2 linked regions of the Elephas maximus indicus genome follow. The protein of the gene in region 2 purifies or fractionates together with the protein of the main gene of each other region. This does not show direct contact. Links are inferred from orthologs where the notes say so. Each region holds a gene or a part of one and is shown on either strand. Other genes may lie near its edges. The genes, in order: CD9 and ITGA3.

What was found.
Region 1: the proteins of ITGA3 (region 2) and CD9 purify together in Homo sapiens (affinity purification with western blotting; 3 studies listed by BioGRID and IntAct, with this or other methods). This does not show direct contact. The link is inferred for Elephas maximus indicus from reciprocal best matches to the Homo sapiens genes ITGA3 and CD9.

The regions. Positions count from the first base shown.
Region 1 is NC_064822.1:62,977,931-62,985,779, reverse strand, and holds the start of CD9 (CD9 antigen), read right to left. Parts: upstream 3,317-7,849; 5' UTR 3,183-3,316; coding exon 3,117-3,182; intron 1-3,116. UniProt on the Homo sapiens protein: Integral membrane protein associated with integrins, which regulates different processes, such as sperm-egg fusion, platelet activation and aggregation, and cell adhesion.
Region 2 is NC_064837.1:43,578,750-43,587,144, forward strand, and holds the start of ITGA3 (integrin alpha-3), read right to left. Parts: upstream 3,469-8,395; 5' UTR 3,451-3,468; exon of another isoform or gene 3,443-3,450; intron 3,002-3,442; 5' UTR 3,000-3,001; coding exon 2,794-2,999; intron 1-2,793.

The sequences.
Region 1 (7,849 bases), on a different chromosome or scaffold from region 2:
TAAGCTCCTGGTCTCAAGACAGAAAGGGAAGTGATGACTTCATAATCATCCAAGTAGTTCCCTTAGATCATAGGAAAAAAAAAAAAAAAGATTCCCTTAAAATATATTTTTTAAACTTAAGGAACTCAAAATATATATATATATATATATATTGACAGCTTGTCCTCACCCTTCTACCACTTCCACCTAGCAGCCAAACCTGGCTGGGTCAGACAGCATGCTGCTGCGATAGAAAGCGTGTTGGACTTGGAACCAGCCTGACCTGCCTTCAAGTAGACTTCTGAATCCATCCTGCTTCTTGTGTGACCCTGGATAAGTCACTTAACCTCTCTGGGGACTAATTTCTCGAATCATCAGTAAAATGGGGATGATGTTTCCTGCTATGGCTGTATCATGGGTCACATGCAAGGTCTTGGAAAAGAAAGGACTTTGAAAACTGTAATACTCTGTACACAGTGGATCACAATACCCCTTTATCCCGTTATCTCCTGGGAGATGGGGCTTCACCTCTATAGACTGCAGTATGTGGCGGCGGAACAATAATTAACTCAGAAAATCATAGCAACTGCTCAGCTGCCTACCCCAGTCCATTACCAGATCCCTTGGTGATTTTGTGATGGAGACCAAGAGGACAGAACTGAAGTAAAGGACTGAGAAGTTGCAGTCTTAGCTTGGTCTCTGACTAGCTGTGTGATCCCGGGTAAACTGCCCCCCGCCCTGGTTCTCAGCGTTCTCCCTGTGAATAAGATGGGTGCAGTGGATGATCTCTAATGTCTTCCCCAACTCGAAACCCAAATGTTCCGAGACTGAATCATTGTTTCAGACTACATAGCTGACCAGCAGCACCTGGCCCAGGCAGGGCAGCTCTGAACACAAGTGGAGGGGCAAGCTGGGGATAGTACTGACAGACTGCAAGCCATTAGGCAAGAGACTAGGAGTCTCTGAGTGGTACAAATGGTTAACGTGCTTAGTTGCTAATTGAAAGGCTGGAGGTTCAAGTCCACCCCGAGTAGAAGAAAGGCCTGGGGATCTACTTCCAAAAAATAAGCCTTTCAAAACCCTACAGAGCACAGTTCTACTCTGACACACATAGGGTTGCCATGAGTCAGAGCTGACTTGACGGCAACTGGTTTTACGCAAGATACTGAGCAGATATAGGGGTGGCCCTGGAAGCCTTCCATCAGGCTCCTCCCTATGTCATGGGGCAGCTGGGGGTGTGTGTGGAGGCATACACAATGGTATCCCTCTACCCTCAAACCCTGATGCAATGCAGGCAGATAGCTGAGGACTGACTAACAGTTGTTAACAGACTAGCCTAGCCGGGGAGAGACTGTGCTAGCGAGGCGAGGAGAAAACTCCCCAAAGGACAAGGGTGGGGTGGGGTGCGGTGGGCCCAGCCAGCCTTCCAACATACTTTTCTGGTGCCAGGGTTTTGGTGAGAGAAGGCTGCCCAGCCTGGCAGCTGGCTGGGTCCTGGTGGGAACACCAGGAAGAGGGAGTGCCAACTGCAGTTAGGGTCTCCCTAAAGCAGATCAAGGGCTGGGTAGGGCCACACCTACATGCCATTCTCCCCAGGGTGTGTGTTGGGTGTGATGATTTGCAGGGGCAGGCCAGTTTCTGCAGGCTGGAAAATTGCTCTCCTACCACCTCTTCAGCTCTGGGGAGAGGATTAAATCTTAGATTCACCCCAAGGTTCCTGGGGACCCCTGTGACCAGCCCTAGGGGAACAAGCACACTTTTTGGGACAAGCCTGTGGTGGCAAGGTCTCCATTCATGTACCAGCTTTCTCTTCATGTACCCGTTTCCTCGGCCATCTCCCTTGAGTGTCACAAGGGCTCCCCTGCCAAAGCCCTTCCTGCTCTAGAGGGGCAAATGTTGTCCACCTGCATGCAGAGGAACTGGCCTCAGAACCAGGTCAGAAGGAGATCTATTCCTTGCTTCTGTCCTTGGGCAGTCCCTTAATCTTCTAAGGGAAGGTGTGGGGTGGACACTCTCCTTTTTTGTTGCCTTCCCATTTGCAGAAATGCTCTCTGTGGTTGGCTGTAGGTGTCTCTGGGACTTTCTGCCCAGGTGTGCTCCTCTCTGTGACCCTGCCTTGCTGCTTGGTGGGCTAAAGGGGAGGGGGAGAGGCCAGAGGGATTCCTGGGTGGGCAGCAGGAGGCCTGCACCTGAGCTCTCCCAGAAACGGAGAAACACAGGATTTAACCCGCTGGAGGTGAGGACAGGCATCAGGCATCGGGCATCGGGCCTCTCCTCTGCCCAACTCTCCCAGAGTTCTCTCCTGTTAAGATACTTATCGCCCTGGAGAAAAAACCAAGACAAACTAGTCTTTCAGGTAGCTTTGAGGGAGCTCGAGCTTTCTAACAGCGACTCAGAATCAAAGTTTGAGAGAACAGGCCTGCCAGGTTCCTCCTTGGGAGTGGAGGGGCTATAGGTCTCCACTTTGTTGCCCACCCAGGGGTAGTCGGAAAAAGACCTTATGCCCAACTCTCACTCCGAGAGTGAGCCTCGGAGGGCGGACCCCCCTGGCCGGCCGCCTTTCCCCTCCAGTGTAAACGTGTCAACAGCTCTTCGCTGAGCCTTCCCGGCGCCACCAAGTCCCTCAGAGCGCCCACATCGTCCCCTCCGGACGCCTATACCACTTGTGAAATCCCATCCCGGTCAAGAACTGCACCCCCGTCGTCCTTGGCCGGGGCCTTGAGCTGCCGGAAGAGGGGTGCTCTTTTTCTACCTGTCATCTTCTCTTCCTGCCTTCGGAGGGGCTTGGGTGGGAGCAAACAAACTCCAGTCCAAATCCCTCAGCAAAGGAGAGGGCCAGGACCGTATCCAGAGTCCCAGCCCACTGAGACCCCCACCTTCTCCCAGCCTGCTCGCTTCGGATGAGTCCCTCACCAAAGTGCCCGCCCCGCCCGTCTCCGCACCCGGACGAAAGCCAGCTGGCGGCCACAGAGCCATTTCTATTCCCCGTCGGTGTCTGCCCAGCGCGGGCAGTGCCAGCCGTCGGCGCCCCCAGCCGCCTGGCACCCCCGGACGCGGACAGTGTACCCGTGCGCGCGGCCTCCGGCCCGGGAACAGGTGGTCCCGGGGAGGAGCGCACGGCAGTCGCGCTCACTTACCCAGAAGATGAAGTTAAATCCGAAGAGCAGGTATTTGATGCACTTGGTGCCTCCTTTGACCGGCATGGTGCAAGCTAGACTGGACTGGGGCGGACGGATGCGGGACTAGACTGGACCGGGCCAGGCAGACCACGCGTCGGACAGAGATGCTGTCGGCTGCGAGTCCTTCTCCGGGCTGCACTTTTAAAAAGTGCCACTCCTTAAGGCGCGCGACTGGGTGCGGTGCGCATGTGCAATGGTCCTGCCCCCCCCCCCTCGCCGGGCCCACCTGCCCCGCCCACCCACCTGCCCCGCCCACGCTATGCGGCCCGCCCCACCCAGGTTCAAACAGACTCCGGCCCTGGCGGCAGCTCGGAATCCGCCTTGCACTCTTTCCCCTCCTCCCTCCAGCCTGTCCCTCTCCCCACGACTTGGCCGTGCCCTGCTGTCTTCTCTTTCCTCCCGACTACCCTTGGGTTTTTCCATACCGCCATTCCCAGCCACTTTTACCAAGGAGTTACGGGGAGGCCTCTCCCTTCAGGGCCACCCTTTGTTGATTCTGGGCTTCCCGCCGAACCCTCTCCTTTGGGAGATCCTCCGCCGGTCGTTTGGGCTAAAGGCCCTTAGCCAAGGCCACCTGCCAGGTGAACGAGGGCTCTTTTCGCTTTGGCCAATTCGAAGGGCAGTTCCCTGGCTTTATTTCTCCCCTGAGCGGCTCCTTGCAACCCTTCACTCTTTGAGCATATTCTTTTTTTTTTTTTTTTGACACGTCTTGCGGAGTAGGAGGAATTAGAGACTTGCTGTCCAGGTGAGACTACTAATCGGAGGCGTGTGGAAATAATTATCAAATACCAGTCACCGAATAGTAATATGGCTGAGGGTTGGGGCATTCCAGGAGCGCTTCCTGGATGTGTGGGTTAGATGCCCCAACCAAAACAACCCATTGCCATCCAGTTGATTCCGACTCATAGCAACCCTACAGAACAGACTAGAACTGTCCCAGAGAGTTTCCAAGGAGTACCTGGTGGATTCGAACTGCTGACTTTTTGGTTAGAAGCCCTAGCTCTCAACCGCTAGGCCACTGAGGTTTCCTTAGATGCCCCAGAGGGAATCAAAGTTTGTAGCCAGTTCTTGCCGGGACTCTTCCACCCCATCCTCCACGTCTGGTCTTGTCCTGATTCTGCCATTGCTGCCGCTTTAGTGCTCCAGCTGTCCAGCACCGATGGCAGTCGAAGTTTCTCATCCTGGCATTCAAGGCCCTGTTCATAACACTTGAGGCCCACCCTGCCCTATTTACCATCGTACAGCCCAGCTCTGCACGTGGGGTGCTCTCTGGCTGGCTGGCCTCCCCTCCCACCTTCCATTGTAGAAATTCTATGGCTCCTTAAACACTCCTCTGATTCTCACGACTCGGTGAGGAAATTCCCCTTCTCTTGAAGTCCCAAAATTCTTGTATTTCCCCCCCCCCAAAATGAAGTTTCCTTTGGTGTTCTTCTTTATTTGGAGAGTAAAACATACTGATTACAGAAACATCAGAAAATACCAACAAGCAAAAAGCACATAATTCAAGATTTCACCCACCAGAAACAGCCACTGTTAGCACTTTGTAATCTTACTTTGCTCTATTTATTATCATTTGAAAATTTGTCTCATCGATTAATTCATTGATAGATTCATTCATTCATTCATTCAAAAACCATTTTCAGAATCTATCTTATGAAGGATATTTTGTAAGGTTGCAGGGGCTGAAGGAAATGAATGGGTCCTGTTTCTGCTCTCCTGGAGCTCAGAGTCTGCTGGGGGAGGCAAATACCCAGTCAGACAATGGGATAAGGGTGACCCTGTGGCATCATAGAGATAGGTTTAGGGGCTAAGTGAGCTCATAGGAGGGACCTCTGACCCAGATTGGGAAGCGATGCTGTGGAACCACAGGGAAAGTTACAGGCAAGGGAGAAACCTGGGCTCTCAATTGGGGTAGGAGTGGGGGTAAGTGAAGGTGGAGACCTAGGTAGGAGTGAGGTGAGGAAGAGCCTCCAGGTCCTGGACCTTGCACTTGAGAGCGAGGGGGTAGGTCAGGGTTGAAGCTGGGAGTGGTTTGATCAGCTGTGGGTTTTAGGTAGATTCCTACCTGTATGTTAGGTAGGTGGGTAGTGGAGGGTAGGAGGGGCAAGGAGTAAACTCCTTAAGGATAAAGGACATTGTATCTCCAGACCTTCTGGAGATTGGACGGTAAGTCGGGAGGTGTATCAGGAGAGCTGCAAGGGGGTGATGTAAGGGGAGCAGTGGGAAATGAATGGTGAGCCAGGACAGAGTAGAGAGGCCCTCTGTCTTCAGTTGTGCAGGATCAAGTGGGGAGCCCTAAGGGCTGGTGAGCAGAGGATGGCAGACGACCCGGATGGATAGGGATAGCTGGTTGTTTGTGTGTGCTGTACTACAGGGGGCGGGGGCGGTGTGGGGAGATGCTGAAGCAGGAAGATCAGGTAGGAAGCTGCTGAACTGTCCTGGTGAGAGATGTGGAGGACTAAACTAAGGTGGGGTGATGGGATGAAGGCTGGAGAATGTACGGCCAAACCTGATGGAGAGTCGATGTGGGAGGGGGAGAGGGTAAGGAAAAGAGGGCAGAGGCAGAATGGCAGAAGCCAGTTTATGGAGGGCTTCATTTCATTTTTCTTCTTTAAATGTTTATTGAGAACCTACTATGTGTCACATACTGTGCCAGATGCTGTGGCTACAGAGACGAATCTCCGGGTAGGGTGAGAGACCCATTAACAGACAAGGACAAGTACATGGGATCTTTTCTCTGAGAGGGATGTGGTCAGGAACAAGTGGGTACAGGCTCCACGTCTGCTGAGTCAGAGGAGGCTCCCCAGAGCAGAGGGCACTGATGCTGACTGTGAGGATGTAAGACAGAGGAGGGAATTCCAGGCAGAGGCAATTATTTGCACTGAGGCGCAGAAACATGAAACCACACACTGGCTGGCTGGCTGCTCAGGGAAACTACCAATAGCGGGACGTGGGAGATTAAAGGGAGGACAAGGAAGAAGCTGAGAAAAACGAGTTCCCTTAAATTGAGCCTACACCACTAGTGGCCTAGCAGAGGAATTTCAGTAATGTTTTAATTGTTATTCAAGCTAATCCAGGGTCCACTGACCATTGTTCCTGCCCCGCAGTGTTCAAGGCCCTGAGGGGGAAATAGAAAAACAATGTCCCATTGTGCTGTTCTCTGCAGGAGCCCAACCTACCTAGGGAGACAGGTCAAGGAAAGAAAAGATTTTATCTCTACCATTCTCCAGGTGGGAGGAGTTCAGTAAATAAATTTATAAAAAAAACTATTTCTTAGGGGACTTGTGAGTATTAAATGAGTTAATCCACACGTGGGGCTTTCTACAGTGCCTGCCACAAAGGTGCTCAAGAAATGTTAGCTATTGTTCTTGTTGCTCAAGAAAAAACTGCTGTTGTTGTTTGTTAGGTGCTGTCAAGTGGGTTCTGACTCATAGTGACCCCGTGTACAACAGAATGAAACACTGCTGGTCCTGTGCCATCTTCATAACCGTTGCTATGTTGGAGCCCATTGTTGCAGCCACTGTGTCAGTCCCTCTCGTTGAGGGTCTTCCTCTTTTTCGCTCACCCTCTACTTTACCAAGCACGATCTCCTACAGGGACTGGACTGGTCCTTCCTGATAACATGTCCAAAGTATGTGAGATGAAGTCTCCCCATCCTAGCTTCCAAGGAGCATGCTGGCCGTACTTCTTCCAAGACAGATTTGTTCGTTCTTCTGGCAGTCCATGGTATATTCAATTTTCTTCCCCAATACCATAATTCAAAGGCATCAGTTCTTCAGTGTTCATTGTTCATTGTCCAGCTTTTACATGCATATGAGGTGATTGAAAATACCATAGCTTGGGTGAGGCACACCTTAGTCCTCAGAGTGACATCTTTGCTTTTTAACACTTCAAGGAGGTCTTTTGTAGCAGATTTGCCCAATGCAATATGTCATTTGATTTCTTGACTACTGCTTCCATGGGCTTTGATTGTTAATCCAAGTAAAATGATATCCCTGACGACTTCCATATTTTGTCTGTTTATGATGATGTTGCTTATTGGACCAACTGGGGGGATTTTTGTTTTCTTTATGTTGAGGTGTAATCCATAGTGAAGGCTGTAGTCTTTGACCTTCAGTAAATACTTCTAGTCCTCTTTGTTTTCAGCAAGCAAGGTTGTGTCCTCTGCATAATGCAGGTTGTTAATGAGTCTTCCTCCAATATTGATGTCAAGTTCTTCGTATTTGTAAGTTTAGCTTCTCAGATTATTTGCTTAACATACAGACTGAATAAGTTCGGCGAAAGGATACAAGCCCGATGTACACCTTTTCTGATTTTAAACCATGCAGTATCTCCCTTCTCTAGTCCAAAGTCTGTTTCTTGGTCAATGTACAGGTTTCGCATGAGCACAATTAGATATTCTGGAATTGCCATTCTTGGCAATGTTATCCATAATTTGTCACGATCCACACAGTTGAATGCCTTTCTGTAGTCAGTAAAACACAGGTAAAGAATGATATCTCTAGGTCCACGCTGTTAATTGCCTTCAAGTCAATTTTGATTCCTGGTGACCTCACATATGCAGAGTAGAATTATCCATAAGATTTTCAAGGCTATGACCTTTTGGAAATAGATCACCAAGCCTGTCTTCCGAGATGCCTCTGGGTAGGTTTGAACTACCTACTTTCAGCTAGTAGTTGAGCACTTAACTG
Region 2 (8,395 bases):
CCAGCTGGTCCAGCTGGCTCTCGCAAAGGGCTAAGGGGCAGAATTCAATGAGATGGGCCAAGATATAGAACCACTACTGGGAAAGACAGAGGGTACCCAAGGAGGGACCCAGAACTTTACCTAGAACTGCCTGCCTCTCAGATGTTCAGAAAGCAGCAAACAATTAGCTTTAGAACCTTTTGGGCTCTTGTCAGGCCTAGTTGTCATCACTAGCCCTCAAGGAAGAGAAGCAGAACCCCTCCGCTGAACCATCTTGGGTGAGGTTGGTGAGTAATGGGAGTGCATCAGAGACTTGGCCTTGACACAAGGGCCTTCAGCACTCCCTGGAGATATAAGCTGTTCAGAGCCCTTTAGACATATTGTTTTATTAAACTACACTCTCACCTCAGCTGTCAACTGAAAGGTTGGTGGTTCAGACCTGCCCAGAGGTTCTGCGGAACAAAGATCTGGTGATCTGCTTCTATAAAGATTACAGCCTAGAAAACCCTACGGGGCAGTTCTAATCTGTCACATGGGGTCGCTAGGAGTTGAAATCGACTTGATGGCCCATAACAACAACAACATCACCACATCAAGATTGGTGAAGGGCTGGGCTACTAACCAAAAGGTTGGTGGCTTGAACCCAACCACAGGCACCTCAGAAGGAAGTCCTGGCAATCAGCCACTGAAAACCAGAGCACAGCTCTACTCTGACGCACGTGGAGTCACCAGGAGTCGGCATCGACCTGATGGCATCTGGTACCACCCCATGAGAAAGGGTGCTGTCCACTCCCCACCCCCACAGATATACGGCGGCATTCAGGCTTAGTTATTAGGGATAGACCCCAGACAGCTCACTGGCATTGGGACTCCCAAGCCTCTTCTCCGTCCACAACGTCAAGTTGCCTCCCATAGAACAACAGAGGTGGGAAGGAATATATGGATCCAGGTCCAACCCCTCTGGGGAAAACTGGCCCAGAGAAGGGAAATATCTTGCTCAAGGTCACACAGCAAAGGGGGTGGGTACAGAATAATTTACACTCAGATTTTTTGCTTCCTTGTGCAGATTCAGCATCAAGTCAAATCAAATTTTTTTCTGGGCAGGTGTAGAGAGAGCACCAATATAGAAACTTACGCTGATGGTCACCTAAAACCAAAAAACTAAACCCAGTGCCATCGAGTCGATTCCGACTCATAGCGACCCTATAGGAGAGAGTAGAACTGCCCCATAGAGTTTCCAAGGAGCGCCTGGAGGATTTGAACTGCCCACCTTTTGGTTAGCAGCCATAGCACTTAACCACTACGCCACCAGGGTTTCCAATGGTCACTTAGGGTCTCAAAAAAAATGGAGGAGTGGCCAAGGCCACATCTCAGCTGCTGGGGCCAAGCTGGGTAGGGTGTGGCAGCTGCAGCCTCTGCAGAAGCTGGACAGAGTTGAAGCCAAGTCCAGGTAGGCAGGCAGGGCAGGGGCTGGGCCCGCAGGGCAGGGGCCAAGGCTGTGGCAGAGCTTGGACTTTGAACATTCTAAGCTTCCTTCAGTTTCTACAGGCTCCAGGCAGAACTGGGAGGAATTTTAAGACACCCTTGATCTGACCACATCCTCTAGCTCAGTGTAGTGAGTGAGAGGCCAGGTAGGGGTAGACTCCTGCCAGGTCACTCAGCCCAAAGAGGTGGGTGAGACCTGCCTGGCCTGTCCTAACTACTGGCCTTCGCTGGGCAGCCTCACCTCCTCTAGATGCCTCTTCCCCCAACTGCCAACCTCAGCATGCTCGAAGCCCATGGCAGAGAAACCTCCCAGACCTAGACATGTCCCTCTGGGCATGTGTGTGTGCTCGTATGTGCCTGCGCATGTGTGTGCGTGTATGTGTGTGTGTGTGTGGTGGGAATGGGGGGGTGGCAAGCAGCTGGTTGCAATCTCCTTCCCCTCTGTTCCCTATGTCTAGCTCCTCCCTCTCCTTCTTCTTGCAGCTGTTGGGGAAGGAGACCAGAAGAAAGAGAAAAACACCATTTCCCTCTTCAAACCAAAACAAACACACTCAGGGTTGAAGATTCAACATGAATCTGTGGAATGCCGGGATGATGTCTGGTGGGGAGAGCGCCACTGCTGGCTGTGTGTGGGGGGAGGGCAGGAGATGAGTAGAAGTTGGGGCAGCCCCTCCTCTCTCATCTACTCCCCACAACCTTAAGGGGTCTGCTTGGGCGCTTTGACATTTCCAACCGCCCAGATTTACCCATCATCTCACCCTCCAACCCCCAGGTGGTGGTGGAGGAGGCCCTCCAGTCTGGCTCTGCAGAGGGTGTGGCTGGCTGAGTGGCCACAGACTAAATTCGAGGTGTCAGGAGCGGAGGAAGTGGGTTTAAATGCATATGTCCATAGGTACTTTCCATGTGCGTGTGTTGGGGGGGAAGAGGGGTCCCACTAGGTGTTTATCTTGCAGTTTGCCCCAGCTCCCAGCTCTGGAAGAAGAGGCTATTGCTCAGCGCTTGGTTCACAGAACGGAAAGACACTCAGCAGCGAAGACCCCACTTCCGCTCTCAGGAGAGGTCTAAAGGCCAAGGAGGCTCCGCCTAGGCACGTTGTGGCCCGGTCAGCACTTGCCAATGACGACTGTCCCTCACCCCACACCCAATCCCTCAGTTTCCCGCCCAACACCAGCCGGAGGGCTATCCGGCTCCCTGCCACTTAACCCCTCCGTTCGCAGGGTTCGGCGGTAGCAGGCCTGGAAGTATGCGGGCCCAGGGTTCCGAATCCGCTCTTGATCGGTACCCCACAACACACACACTCCCTCCCCCACCCCCGCCAGCCACACTTACAGGTAGCGCTGCTGCCGCTCGGTCTGCCGATGGAGGGCGACCGAGTAACCGAAGAGGCTGCCCGGGTTCCTGGCCTCCTTTACCACCAGGAATCGGGTGTCCAGGTTGAAGGCGGAGGCGACGCGGCCGCCGGCGGCCACCATCAAGGCGAGGGCGCAGAGCATTGGGCTCGGGGCACCGGGTGCGCGGCGCAGGCCGGGGCCCATGGCTGCGAGCGGGAGACCGGGGCCGGGCGAAAGCGCGTGAGAGAGCGGAGCTGGGAGGGAGGACCCGTTCCACCTGCTCCGGGTGCAGCCCGGGACACTCGGGCCCTCCGCGTCGTTGCGCCTGCGGTACTGATCAGTTCCCTGCTCCCAGCCCTGGTCCTTCACGTCCGCTCAGGGTCAGCGCTCCCCGATCCCTCTGCTCCGCCCGCGGATCTAGTCTCCTGTCTCCCCCTACACAGGGTCACCGCTTCTCGCCCCGGGCCCCCGGCCTCCCAGCTTGTCCCAGCCGCGCCCCCTTGGCCGCGCTGTCGCCTTCGATCCGGGCTCGGCGGCAGATCTGGGTCGGCAGCAGATCTGGGTCGGCGGACCGGTCCACCACCAGAAGGACGGGAGGGAGGGGTCTCCCCCGCGCGCGCCCCGCCTTCCCACGCCCAGCCTCGCACCTCCCCACCTTGCGCGCCCAGCCCGGCTCCGCTTTCCTTCCGGGGAAAGAGAAAAGATCCCGGCTCGGCCACCGCCTCTTAAAGGGGCAGCACCGCCCCTCCCTCCTCATCCTCCCTTCCCCGACTCCGCCCTCCCCCCCAAACACCTGTCCGGGGGCCCTCAAAGGCTTGGATTTCCCCTCCCCGCGCCTTGCTGCTCCCAGGAAGCGTCTTCTTCCAAGCAAAATGGATTGGACTGTCGGGGCCGGAGGTAGGATTTGTCCCGCCGCTTTGCTGCGGCTGCTACCACTGCTGAAAACGCCGTTCCAGTTGCAGCCACCTCGATCTGACCGCCGGAGAGCGCCGGCGTTGGCGCGTCTGGGAACCGACGTCCGCGCGCGCCTGCCGGGAGTGCTGGGGTCGCCTCTGCGGCGCTGTGAGTCCCTGAGACGTGGCTAGCGGTCTCTGGAAGTTCCTTTTCGCACCCAGCCTCTTGGACTTCCTGGTCGAGATTTATTTCTCTGGCCCACCCCTCTGACCGGGAATAGGCCCTCGGCAAAGCCAGACAGATATTTAGCAGTGTTAACAACCAAACATCAATAATTGCTAATTATAATTAGCAGCCAGACAGCATTTTCCCAAGAGGGCTGCGTCCTCGGATATCCCTTGTAAACCTGTCGGTGTGGAGCTTCTCCTTCGATGGCACTTCAAGGCGGTGGAGCCTGGCCCAGACTGTATCCATTTCTCAGTCACTCCTGCTTTCAGGGCCCAGCCTGGCAGAATCCCAAGAGTCTCCTCCTCCCATCCAGGTTTGGGTTGAACGTTTGGAGACTGAGTGAGGACGCTGAGCCACCACAGGTGTAGTGGGAAGCGCCGGGTAGAGATAGGTGGGTGTGGCCCAAAGGTCTGGTTATGGGGAAAAGATCAAACTGGAAGGGAACTTCAATAGGTCGCTATGTACTTTGAGTCTAACACAGATTTCCATTATTGCAGCACAAAGACCCATCATTCTCTGAGCATTCTTCTCTTGGCTAAAGATGCTTTCTTATTTTGGTCCAGGAGTCTATCCCTCAGTGTCCACTCCCTTGAAATTCAGCCTTCAGCCCCAATGTCTGGGAGTTTATAATAATAAGGAGAAACATACCATGCATTAAGCAGTTATACGGTGGGAACTATGCTAAGTGCTTTACAAAAGTCATTAAATCCTCAAAATGATCTCTGAGGTGTTATCTCCATTTCTGTGGTTGTTGTTAGGTGACATCGAGTAGGTTCCACTCATAGCGACCCTATGCACAACAAATGAAGCCTTTCCCACTCCTGCGCCATCCTCACAATTGTTGCTATGTTTGAGCTCATTGTTGCAGCCACTGTGTCAATCCATCTTGTTGAGGGCCTTCCTCTTTTTCTCTGACCCTGTACTTTATCAAGCAGGATGTCCTTCTCCAGGGACTGGCCCTTCCTGATAACAGGAAGGGAACGTGTTATTGCCATCTTAAAGATGAGGAAACTGAACTTCACGGAGGTTAAGGAGCTTGGTGAAGGCCATAGAGGTAGGGTTCTGATCCTGTGTTATCCGACCCTGGAGTCCTTTTTCTTAACCACTTACGCTAATAATTAACATTTGTACAATGCTCAGGGCAGATCCAGGTTTGGTGAGGCCTGAAGCTTGTACAATTTGGGGGCTCTCTTTAAGAAAAAGAATTATGAATACGAAATTAGATATAAAGCCCAGAGTCTAATTTTACAGTTTATGAATCATTTCATATTCTGACTCTCATTTCATCCTCCTGGCATCCCTGTGAGGTCAGGGTTATCGTCCTCATTTGACTTAGCGGAAATGGAGGCTCTGAAGGTTACCTGGATGGCCAAGGTCACGCAGCTTGTGGGCGGTAGAGCTAGGACTGAAAGCTGCTGAGCACAGCTGTGTCTTTAAGTGACAAACTCTAGGCAGATGTTGGCCAGATGGCCAGACACACCTAAACAAAAACAGCTGCGATAACAGCTTTTTGTGTGGTGTTTGGGGAGAGGACACTCGTCCTTGTCTGCCCTTCAGAGAGCATTTGTTCCTGAGCTGTAACTCTCAGAGCCATGCAGCCTTTCTCTGGTCCCTCTTGGATCCCCCAGGGCCTCTAGAGGTTAGGAGACACCTGGGGTCAAGGAACAGGAAGATGACCTGTAGCCTTTGCCCTCCCTCTGGTTGGCTGCTGTTCTTTCACCTCCTTCCTGCAGAATAGGAGCCAGCCAGGGCCAGATGGGCAGGGGTCCAACATGGACACCCAGTGTGGACAGGGGTCGTATCTGAAACATCTCTGAGAGTCCTGGGATGACAGATTGACACCATGCCAGTCTTTATCTCTTTGGCCATCCCAAACAAGAATGATCAGCATGTCCGATCCTGGAGCTGGGGCAGGAAAGGGTTGAGGGCTGGTTTTTCCACTCCAGCAGAGTGTCTAGAGAGAATGTGGGGGTGGGAGCAGGGGCGACTGGTAGGTAGAGGGCTCATGCTGAGGAATGTGGGGGAGTGTCAGACAGATCTGGGGGCTGGAATGAGGGTGGAGGGAGACACAGAGACTGGAAGGGTCTGAGCCGGAGAGATGCAGAAAGAGAAGCACCAAGTTCACCTCAAAGGTCTGAACTCCACTGGCTTCAGTCCATTATCATCCACAGCCTCATCTCATGCCTCAGTTGGTTTCATGTTAGCTCTTCCTCATGGAGAGGGGACCCACCCAGGAATGCAGACAGAGACAGAGAAACAGGACACGGGAATAACATGCAAACCATGGGCTCTGCTGTAGGGTCAGGGAAGGTCAGGGCAGGCTTCCTGGAAGAGGAGTGTCTAAATAAGGTTGGAGAAAAAAAGGACTAGCAAGAAGGAGCCTCGGGATAGAAGAAAGGCAAAAGTCGAAGCCTGATTTGGAGTGAAGTTTTCCCAGCGAGAAGAATGGCAACATCAGTATCTAGAAAGGCAGCTTCCATTTATTTAGTGCTTGCTGTGTTTACACCAGCCTTCCTCTGCCTGGCCCCCACCCCACTCCATCTTCCTCTCCCGGAGCCTCAGATGACACCACTTGGCTCTGTCTCCCCTCTTACCTTAAGGTTAGCACGAAGTGGAGGGGTTAAGAGCACAGGCAGGTGCTGAAGGAATATCAGTGGAGTGGAATCATGGTGCCATATGTGTAGAGCCCAGCTCTTCTACCTTCTCACCTTGGGCAGGTGACTTTCCTGCTCTGGGCCACGGCTTCCCCATCTGCAAAATGAAAAAAACAGAAAAAAAAACAGACCCACTGCTGTCGAGTCAGTAAAACGAAAGGGCTGGAGAAAATCCCTCCATCCTTCTCCAGCCAGCTCCAGCATTGTGCGTCCCCAGGCTCCTAGTATTTATTGAACTAAGTGGACGAAATCTCTGCAGTTGAACTAAGACTCCAGTCACTATCTCTGAGTTGAATTGAAAATGCAAATTACTGGGAGGGGAGGGAGGAGTGGTGAAGTGTGAATGGGTTTATCAGATTTCCTTTCTTCCGTTGACCCAGATGTGAGTGGAAGCTAGCCAGGGGTGGGGCAGGAGAGCCTGGTCCGTGGCTCAGGATCTCTGTTGGCCTCATTTACTGACAACCTACTATGTGCTGGGAGCCCTAGTGGCACAGTGGTTAAGAGCTACAGCTGTTAGCGGAAAGGTCAGCCATTGAATCCACCAGCTGATCCTTGGAAACCCTGTGGAGACAGTTCTACTCTGTCCTATAGAGTCTCTATGAGTTAAAATTGACCTGAAGGCAACGGGTTTGGTTTTTTGGTTTCCTGTGTGCTGAGGAGCCACTGGGTGGTGCAAATGGCTAAAGAGTTAGGCTGCCAACTGAAAAGTAGGACGTTTGAGTCTACCCAGAGGTAACCCAGAAGAAAGATCTGGTGCTTTACTTCTAAAAAACCAGCCACTGAAAACCCTGCGGAGCACAGTTCTGCTCTGGCACACATGGGGTTGCCATGAGTCGGAGTTCACTCGATCGCAACTTAGTTTACTATGTGCCAGCATAGACCTGAGTACCCAGGGGTGTGCCAAAGATGAATGAGGGTCTCTTCAGGGAGACCAGGGTTTCATCGTGGCTCCACGTTCTGAAAGTCCTTCAACTGAAACAGGCTAAGCCCACATTAAGGAGCCCTGCTGGTGCAATGGGTAAGCGCTCAGCTGCTAACCGAAAGGTCGGCAGTTCGAACCCACCAGTGTCTCCTTGGGAGAAAAGACCTGGTTATCTGCTTCCATACAGATTGTTGTTGTAGTTGTTAGGTGCTGTCGAGTTGGCTCTGACTCAGTGACTCTGTGCATAACAGAATGAAACACTGCCTCGTCCTTCGCCATCCTTACAGTCTCTGTTATGCTTGAACCCATCATTGTAGCCACTGAGTCAATTCATCTCGCTGAGGGTCTTCCTCTTTTTTGCTGACCCTCTACTTTACCAAGCATGATGTTCTTCTCCAGGGACTGGTCCCTCCTGACAACATGTCCATAGTATGTAAGTCGAAGTCTAACCATCTTTGCTTCTAAGGAGCATTCTGGCTGTACCTTTTCCAAGACAGATTTGTTTGTTCTTTTGGGAGTCTGTGGTGTATTCAATATTCTTCGCCAACACGTCCATCAAAGGCATCAATTCTTCTTCAGTCTTCCTTACTCATTGTCCAGCTTTCATATGCATATGGGGCAACTGAAAATACCATGGCTTAGGTCAGGTGCACCTTAGTCTTCAAGGTGACACCTTTGCTTTTTAACACTTTAAAGAGATCTTTTGCAGCAGATTTGCCCAATGCAATGTGTCATTTGATTTCTTGACTGCTGCTTCCATGCGTGTCGACTGTATGTTTAAGTAAAGTGAAATCCTTGACAACTTCAATCTTTTCTCCTTTTATCATGATGTTGCTTATTGGTCCAGGTGTGAGGATTTTTGTTTTCTTTATATTGAGTTGTAATCCGTACTGAAGGCTGTA